Linked DNA regions of Struthio camelus. The protein of the gene in region 1 interacts with the protein of each later gene in a pairwise test. Links are inferred from orthologs where the notes say so. Each region holds a gene or a part of one and is shown in the gene's direction. Other genes may lie near its edges.

What was found. The genes of interacting proteins can lie anywhere in the genome.
Region 2: the proteins of TCHP (region 1) and keratin, type I cytoskeletal 15 interact in binary tests that used the Homo sapiens proteins (3 or more experiments, as listed by UniProt). The link is inferred for Struthio camelus from reciprocal best matches to the Homo sapiens genes TCHP and KRT16.

The regions. Positions count from the first base shown.
Region 1 is NC_090958.1:19,323,954-19,327,702, forward strand, and holds the start of TCHP (trichoplein keratin filament-binding protein), read left to right. Parts: upstream 1-1,526; coding exon 1,527-1,729; intron 1,730-3,749. UniProt on the Homo sapiens protein: Tumor suppressor which has the ability to inhibit cell growth and be pro-apoptotic during cell stress. Inhibits cell growth in bladder and prostate cancer cells by a down-regulation of HSPB1 by inhibiting its phosphorylation.
Region 2 is NC_090966.1:7,137,232-7,140,980, reverse strand, and holds the start of keratin, type I cytoskeletal 15, read left to right. Parts: upstream 1-939; 5' UTR 940-1,016; coding exon 1,017-1,565; intron 1,566-2,394; coding exon 2,395-2,477; intron 2,478-3,382; coding exon 3,383-3,539; intron 3,540-3,749. UniProt on the Homo sapiens protein: Epidermis-specific type I keratin that plays a key role in skin. Acts as a regulator of innate immunity in response to skin barrier breach: required for some inflammatory checkpoint for the skin barrier maintenance.

The DNA.
Region 1 (3,749 bases):
GCCGGCACCGGGACGCGAACCGGGAGCCGAACCGAACCGGCAGCGGGACCGAACCGGCAGCGCCACTGCCGCGAGGGGCGGGGCGGGGCGCGGCCGCGAGACCCCGGCCCGGCCCGAAGCCCCGCCCCCACCCCGCCCCGACCAATCGCCGCGCGCGGCCCGCCCCGCCGCCGGCCAATCCGACCTCGGGGGCGGGCCTCGCCTCACAGCCCCGGCGGTGGCGGCGGCGGCGTCGTCGTGACGCGGCCTGTCGTGACAGAGGCGGCGAGGCGGCGCCCGGGCCGGTTGTTCCGAGGCCTGGCAGCGGGGCCGCGGAGGGGGAGGCTGGCCCGGCCCGGGCGAGGGGTCCCCTCCGCCTGGGGCCGCGGGGATATCAGAGCGTGGCCCTGGCAGCCTGCGCGGGCAGAGCTGGCCGCTCCTCCCCCTCCTTTATCTATACGCTGTTGGCCCCGCACCAGGCGTTCCTTTGCTGGCCTTAATGAAGCTTTCTAATCTAGCTGTTAATTATTTAGCGAGGATAAATTTTTTATATCGACCAGATGGTTTGATCAGCGCATAACTCCCCGTCTCTGCGAGATCCGGCGTATGCTGAAATAAACAAACAAACCTAAGCGCTAACAAACAAGTGGTTAAATGTATCTCCAAAAAGTTGGGGATGGAAAAATCGCATCGAGCTCTTGCCCAGAGAGGTCTGAATTCGCGCAGCTGCTCCGTCTCCACAACTGAAGAGAGCAAACACTGTGAAACGAAAGCTGAGGGAGAGCAAGCGGTGAGAGGTGCAGAAGAAATGAATGAATCTATTAAGAGTAGATTTGGGGAGGGGATTTGTCAGTGACAGGGGCCCAGATATTTTTCACGAGACTGTTCTTGAAAAACAAGCCGGGGACGATACTGATCTTTGCTCGTTTGTCTTAAGAGATGTTATCACGCGGAGAAAAAAAAAGCAGTTGGCTCAGCAGGAGCGTGCGGAGGGCGTTGGCACGATAACGCCAGTGAAGGCAGAAAGTGGGGGAGCCGCGCTGCGGCCCCCTCGCCCCAGAGGTGACACACGTGCTCCGACCCGAGCGACGGCCTCCCCACTGCGATGGCTGGGACGCGCAGAAGGAGCGCTCGGTCTGACGGAGGGGCGCGCGCGAGAGACCCGTTTGCCCTGCGCCTGCGCCCAGGCGCCCCCATTTCTCGATGGCTTGTGATTTGAACGTTTCCGATTAATAATAAATCGCCGAGTTGTTTGTTTTAACGCAGCTTTTGTGTCTCGGAAGGCGAAACGAAATTCTGCTGCCAGTTCTGGGGCTGACGGAAACATAAACCTTTAACCTGCCTGAAATATTTACAGCACAATAAATACTTAAACTGCTGGAAGCTTTAAAACGGTGTAAGGTTTTAAGGCACAATAAACGCCCGAGGTAGCAGCAGGTTTCTAAGGCACCTCAAACAGCCCACGCCCCCGAGCCCTTCAAATCGCTTTCGCACGTAGGGACGTAGTGTCCCTCGGCGGCGCCCGTAGCCGCCTCGGAAGCGTTGCCATGGCGGCGCGCGGCCCTGGCATGGCGCTGCCGCCGCCGCCGCCGCCGTGGGGCCGGGCCCTGGAGCGGCAGCGGGCGCGGCAGCGGGAGCAGGCGGCGCGCAGCCGCCTGCAGTGGGAGCGGGCCAGCCGCTACTTCGCCCACGCCGGGCTCTGCAGCGCCAAGCAGGCCCAGTGGAGCTCACCGCGCGCCCTCCCGCTGAGGTACCGGCCGGGAACCGGGGGGCGGGAACCGGGGGGACGGGGGGAACGGGAGGACAGGGGCTGGAGGGCACCGGAGACCGGGGTGGCAGGGGGGACAGGGGCTGGAGGGGACCGGAGACCGGGGGGGCAGGGGGGACAGGGGCTGGAGGGGACCGGAGACCGGGGGGGCAGGGGGGACAGGGGCTGGAGGGCACCGGAGACCGGGGGGGCAGGGGGGACAGGGGCTGGAGGGCACCGGAGACCGGGGGGGGCAGGGGGGACAGGGGCTGGAGGGCACCGGAGACCGGGGGGGGCAGGGGGGACAGGGGCTGGAGGGCACCGGAGACCGGGGGGGGCAGGGGGGACAGGGGCTGGAGGGCACCGGAGACCGGGGGGACAGGGGCTGGAGGGCACCGGAGACCGGGGGGACAGGGGCTGGAGGGCACCGGAGACCGGGGGGGGCAGGGGGGACAGGGGCTGGAGGGCACCGGAGACCGGGGGGGGCAGGGGGGACAGGGGCTGGAGGGCACCGGAGACCGGGGGGGGCAGGGGGGACAGGGGCTGGAGGGCACCGGAGACCGGGGGGACAGGGGCTGGAGGGCACCGGAGACCGGGGGGGGCAGGGGGGACAGGGGCTGGAGGGCACCGGAGACTGGGGGGGGCAGGGGGGACAGGGGCTGGAGGGCACCGGAGACCGGGGGGGCAGGGGGGACAGGGGCTGGAGGGCACCGGAGACTGGGGGGGGCAGGGGGGACAGGGGCTGGAGGGCACCGGAGACCGGGGGGGCAGGGGGGACAGGGGCTGGAGGGCACCGGAGACTGGGGGGGGCAGGGGGGACAGGGGCTGGAGGGCACCGGAGACCGGGGGGGCAGGGGGGACAGGGGCTGGAGGGCACCGGAGACCGGGGGAGCAGGGGGGACAGGGGCTGGAGGGGACCGGAGACCGGGGGGGGCAGGGGGGACAGGGGCTGGAGGGGACCGGAGACCGGGGGGGGCAGGGGGGACAGGGGCTGGAGGGCACCGGAGACCGGGGGGGGCAGGGGGGACAGGGGCTGGAGGGCACCGGAGACCGGGGGGGGCAGGGGGGACAGGGGCTGGAGGGCACCGGAGACCGGGGGGACAGGGGCTGGAGGGCACCGGAGACCGGGGGGGGCAGGGGGGACAGGGGCTGGAGGGCACCGGAGACTGGGGGGGGCAGGGGGGACAGGGGCTGGAGGGCACCGGAGACCGGGGTGGCAGGGGGGACAGGGGCTGGAGGGCACCGGAGACCGGGGGGGGCAGGGGGGACAGGGGCTGGAGGGCACCGGAGACTGGGGGGGGCAGGGGGGACAGGGGCTGGAGGGCACCGGAGACTGGGGGGGGCAGGGGGGACAGGGGCTGGAGGGCACCGGAGACTGGGGGGGGCAGGGGGGACAGGGGCTGGAGGGCACCGGAGACCGGGGTGGCAGGGGGGACAGGGGCTGGAGGGCACCGGAGACCGGGGGGACAGGGGGGACAGGGGCTGGAGGGCACCGGAGACCGGGGGAGCAGGGGGGACAGGGGCTGGAGGGCACCGGAGACCGGGGGGGGCAGGGGGGACAGGGGCTGGAGGGGACCGGAGACCGGGGGGGGCAGGGGGGACAGGGGCTGGAGGGCACCGGAGACCGGGGTGGCAGGGGGGACAGGGGCTGGAGGGCACCGGAGACCGGGGGGGGCAGGGGGGACAGGGGCTGGAGGGCACCGGAGACCGGGGGGGGCAGGGGGGACAGGGGCTGGAGGGGACCGGAGACCGGGGGGGCAGGGGGGACAGGGGCTGGAGGGCACCGGAGACCGGGGGGGGCAGGGGGGACAGGGGCTGGAGGGCACCGGAGACCGGGGGGGGCAGGGGGGACAGGGGCTGGAGGGCACCGGAGACCGGGGGGGGCAGGGGGGACAGGGGCTGGAGGGCACCGGAGACCGGGGGGACAGGGGCTGGAGGGCACCGGAGACCGGGGGGGGCAGGGGGGACAGGGGCTGGAGGGCACCGGAGACCGGGGGGGGCAGGGGGGACAGGGGCTGGAGGG
Region 2 (3,749 bases), on another chromosome or scaffold:
CGCCTTATCCCACGGACACACCCTGGCAGTGTAAGCGAGCAGCTAATTGTTCTGTAAAAATCCCTCAAATCTGGTTTCTCATAATTAGGCAGTATTAAATCATGTTAATTAACCGAATTCTGAATTACTGACTTCTGAATTTCACTAGAAATTTACTAGGATTGAAACAGACCAATTTCAAACTCCCAGTTTAAACGAAGGTTTAACATCAGTTTCGTGAGTCTTAAACCTTATTTCAAGATTAACTCCATTGCCTAGTGTGTACTGGCATTACACACGTTAATTGCTATCTGAACAGTTTCATCTTAAACCCAATTTGTTTAGGTTTCCAAAAAGCAATGGGAACTTAGTCTGACATTTATTCTTTTAGTTGAATTATTTCAATCTTATATTCTCTGTACACCGATGGATGTTCATGATCCCTTAAGCAATGTTATAACTATACAATTTTTGTACTAAAAAATTCAGATTCCAAAATCTGAAAATTAATTCTAAGCAAAGAACAGGAAGAAGAACACGACAAATTCAATTCCAAATTTTTAACAAGAATATGAGTAAAAATGAAGAAGGAATGGTGAGATTAACTGATGATAGTACATTTTTCAAAGAAATTGGAATTTTACTTAAAGCAAATTTCGTTTTTAGGCATGGCAATTGCTGTAAATGGGTAAGTGGGTGTGGTTGAACTCACTCCATTTTTCCATTCTTGAATGCGAGAGAGGTAAACTGCAAGTTTCAGAACTATAGCCTAAAGAAAAAACTGTAAGCTGAATCATCCCTTTTGTTTAATTAAAAGAAAAAAAAACAAGTCCTTGCCCCTGGGATCTGCAGCCAGCTCCCTTTGTAAGGAATGGCCTCACCCCTAGGGAGGGGAATCTTTGGAGGGAGGGTTGCAGGGTGGGTTTGTCTCCTAACCCCCTGCCTAGGGATATAAATGAAGCGCCAGGGCAGCAACAGCACTCACATTCTCCCTCTAGACCAAGCTCATTGACCCTAGGTCCTTTCGTGCCTCTGCCATGACTACTGTCTACAGACAGAGCTCCTCTTCTACCTATGGTGGTGGCTTTGGGGGCGGTGGAAGCAGCAGCTCTCGCCTCTCCTCAATCCGAACGGGAGGATCCTACAGGGCTCCAAGTATACATGGAGGATCTGGTGGCAGGGGTGTCTCTGTCTCTTCAGCTCGGTATGTCTCCTCCGTAGGAAGTGGATTTGGTGGTGGCTTGTGTTCTGGTTTGGGTAGTGGCTATGGAGGAGGCTACGGAGGAGGTAGTGCCTTACAAAGTGGCTTTGGTTGGGGTGCAGCCTCTGGCTTTGGTGGAGGGGCTGGCTTTGGTGGAGGTCTTGACTTTGGTGGTGGTGATGGCCTTCTCTCTGGAAATGAAAAGATAACTATGCAGAATCTGAACGACCGTCTGGCTGCATACCTGGACAAGGTACGAGCACTGGAAGAGGCAAATGCTGATTTAGAGGTCAAAATACGAGACTGGTACCAGAAGCAAGCTCCCACCAGCCCAGAGCGGGACTACAGCCACTATTACAAGATAATTGAAGATCTCCGAGACAAGGTATGACATTCATAGGTACAGGGAGTTATAAGAATACATTGGAATTGCGGAACTGCTCTTCAAACCAATTAAAAAACTATAAATAAAAAATTGATTCCCCAAATCCAAATATATTGTAGTTATGAGCATTCTAGCAAAAAAGAGTCTTTTTTTTCTTAATTTAAAAAGTAAATGTGTCATCCTGAAAAGGTGAAGTTTGTTGAAATTAAAATGATTGCACTAAAAGTTAGCAAAAAATGACAAAGTGGGTTTAGAATTATCAATATATTTAGAGAGTAATCAAATACTAAAAATATGATAGGCAGATCTCATAGTCTGGAAAAGTAATTCTCCAGGGCAAAGATAAGATCAGGTATTGTGTAAATGTATTTTACAATTATGTTAAATGTGAACTGTACACATTGCTTATCTTCTCACTTAGTACTTATGAAGTGGTAAAGAAAGAAGATTTAAAGGTTACACACAGAAAGTTCTAAAACAACAACAACAATGTGCTTACTTTCACACAGACATACCTGCCTTTTCTTGGGCTACAGTAAAGGTGTCTCAGATATCTGGGTTGCATCTGGGCGGTGGTAAAGAGTTTAGGTTTTTTGGTTTTCCCATATAAAAGCCATAAGAATTACAACGTGACCAAAAGGCAATATAATAAAATGAAATGGTTATTGCAATGCAAAAAGCGTCTTTAACTAATGAAATCTCAACAGAGGTTCATTTTTTCTGCCTTGTTCGATGGTTAACAGCTTCAATAACTACCTACTAGGCGCTCAGGAACAAGGGTATTTCACCATTACTCACAGGAATCCTTTTCTGTATCTCCTACTGCCAGATCCTTGCAGCTACTATTGACAACTCCAGAATCATTTTGGAGATTGACAATGCCAGGCTGGCTGCAGATGACTTCAGACTGAAGTAAGTTTAGCTGGATCACATTTTTATTCTCTCTCATCCTCTCTCTCGGTTTTTTGAAGTTTAATATTACTTCCTATCTAGAAAAAAAAGTTCTTCAGTCACTGACATATTTTTCTTCTATAACCTATGATGAAAAAATCCAGTTAAAAGAATTGATGTGATGAAGGAAGAAATGGGAAAAGAAACTTGATGGAACATAGTATCCAGATTACTGAGATGTTTACATAATAAATTATAGTTCATGTCTTATTTTGGAGGATGCTCCTGAATAGTCTTACTAGCCTAAATCACTCGGGAAAAGAAAGCAGGAACAGGTTGGAATTAGCGTTTAAAAGGAACAGAATGGTGTGCCGAGATGCCTGCTTGGCTGCAGCAGCTCTCTCGCACAGAGTGTCAAATTAAGAAAGGAAAGACAACAGTGATTCTGTGCTTATCCAGTTCATGGACGCTGAGAACAGCCCGTCAGGCACTGCTGAAAAGATGACAAAGATACTTGCACAATTGTTTTCTCTCACAGCAATGTACCTGCAGGTTTGTATTTTCTCCTCTAATGCCCTAGGCAGAGCTGGGCAATCTATGCTTTTCTTTGTGCCAAATTTGAGAAGATGCTGAAAACGAACTGTCCTGTATGGTAACTTTTCTATCAATGCTGATAATAACTATTAGGTATTACAAACTGAAAAGGTCATGTATTCCTCTGGAATAAAATCAGATGGCAATCCATGTGCTTTCATACTTGAAAGGGGCAAAAAATATCTGCATTCCCTTTAAATTTCCTTTTAATGGATGTTTTCATTTACATCCTCCTGTTCCTTCTACGTTCAGCATAAAATTCCACAGTTTTCCAGCTCTCCTCAATACCAACTCTTGTATGTTCCAACGTGTGTTTCTTTTTAAAACTGCAGATATGAAAACGAGCTGTTCCTTCGCCAGAGCGTGGAGTCCGACATCAACGGCCTGCGCAGAGTCCTGGACGAGCTGACTCTGGCCAGAGCTGACCTGGAGATGCAGATTGAAACACTGAAGGAGGAGCTGGCCTACCTCAAGAAGAACCACGAGGAGGTGAGAGTTCTTAACAATCAAGAGAGAAAATTAGTTCCATTCAGAATTTACCCCTCTCCATTTGGGGGAAAAACAAACCAGAATGACAGTTTTACAGCTAAATGATTAAGAAGAAAACTGTAATCTCAAAAGAATCCAAATCGTGTCCCTTAAAGCACCTCTCTAATTCCAAACTATTCAGAACTAGGAGTTTTCAGTTTTACATGCAGA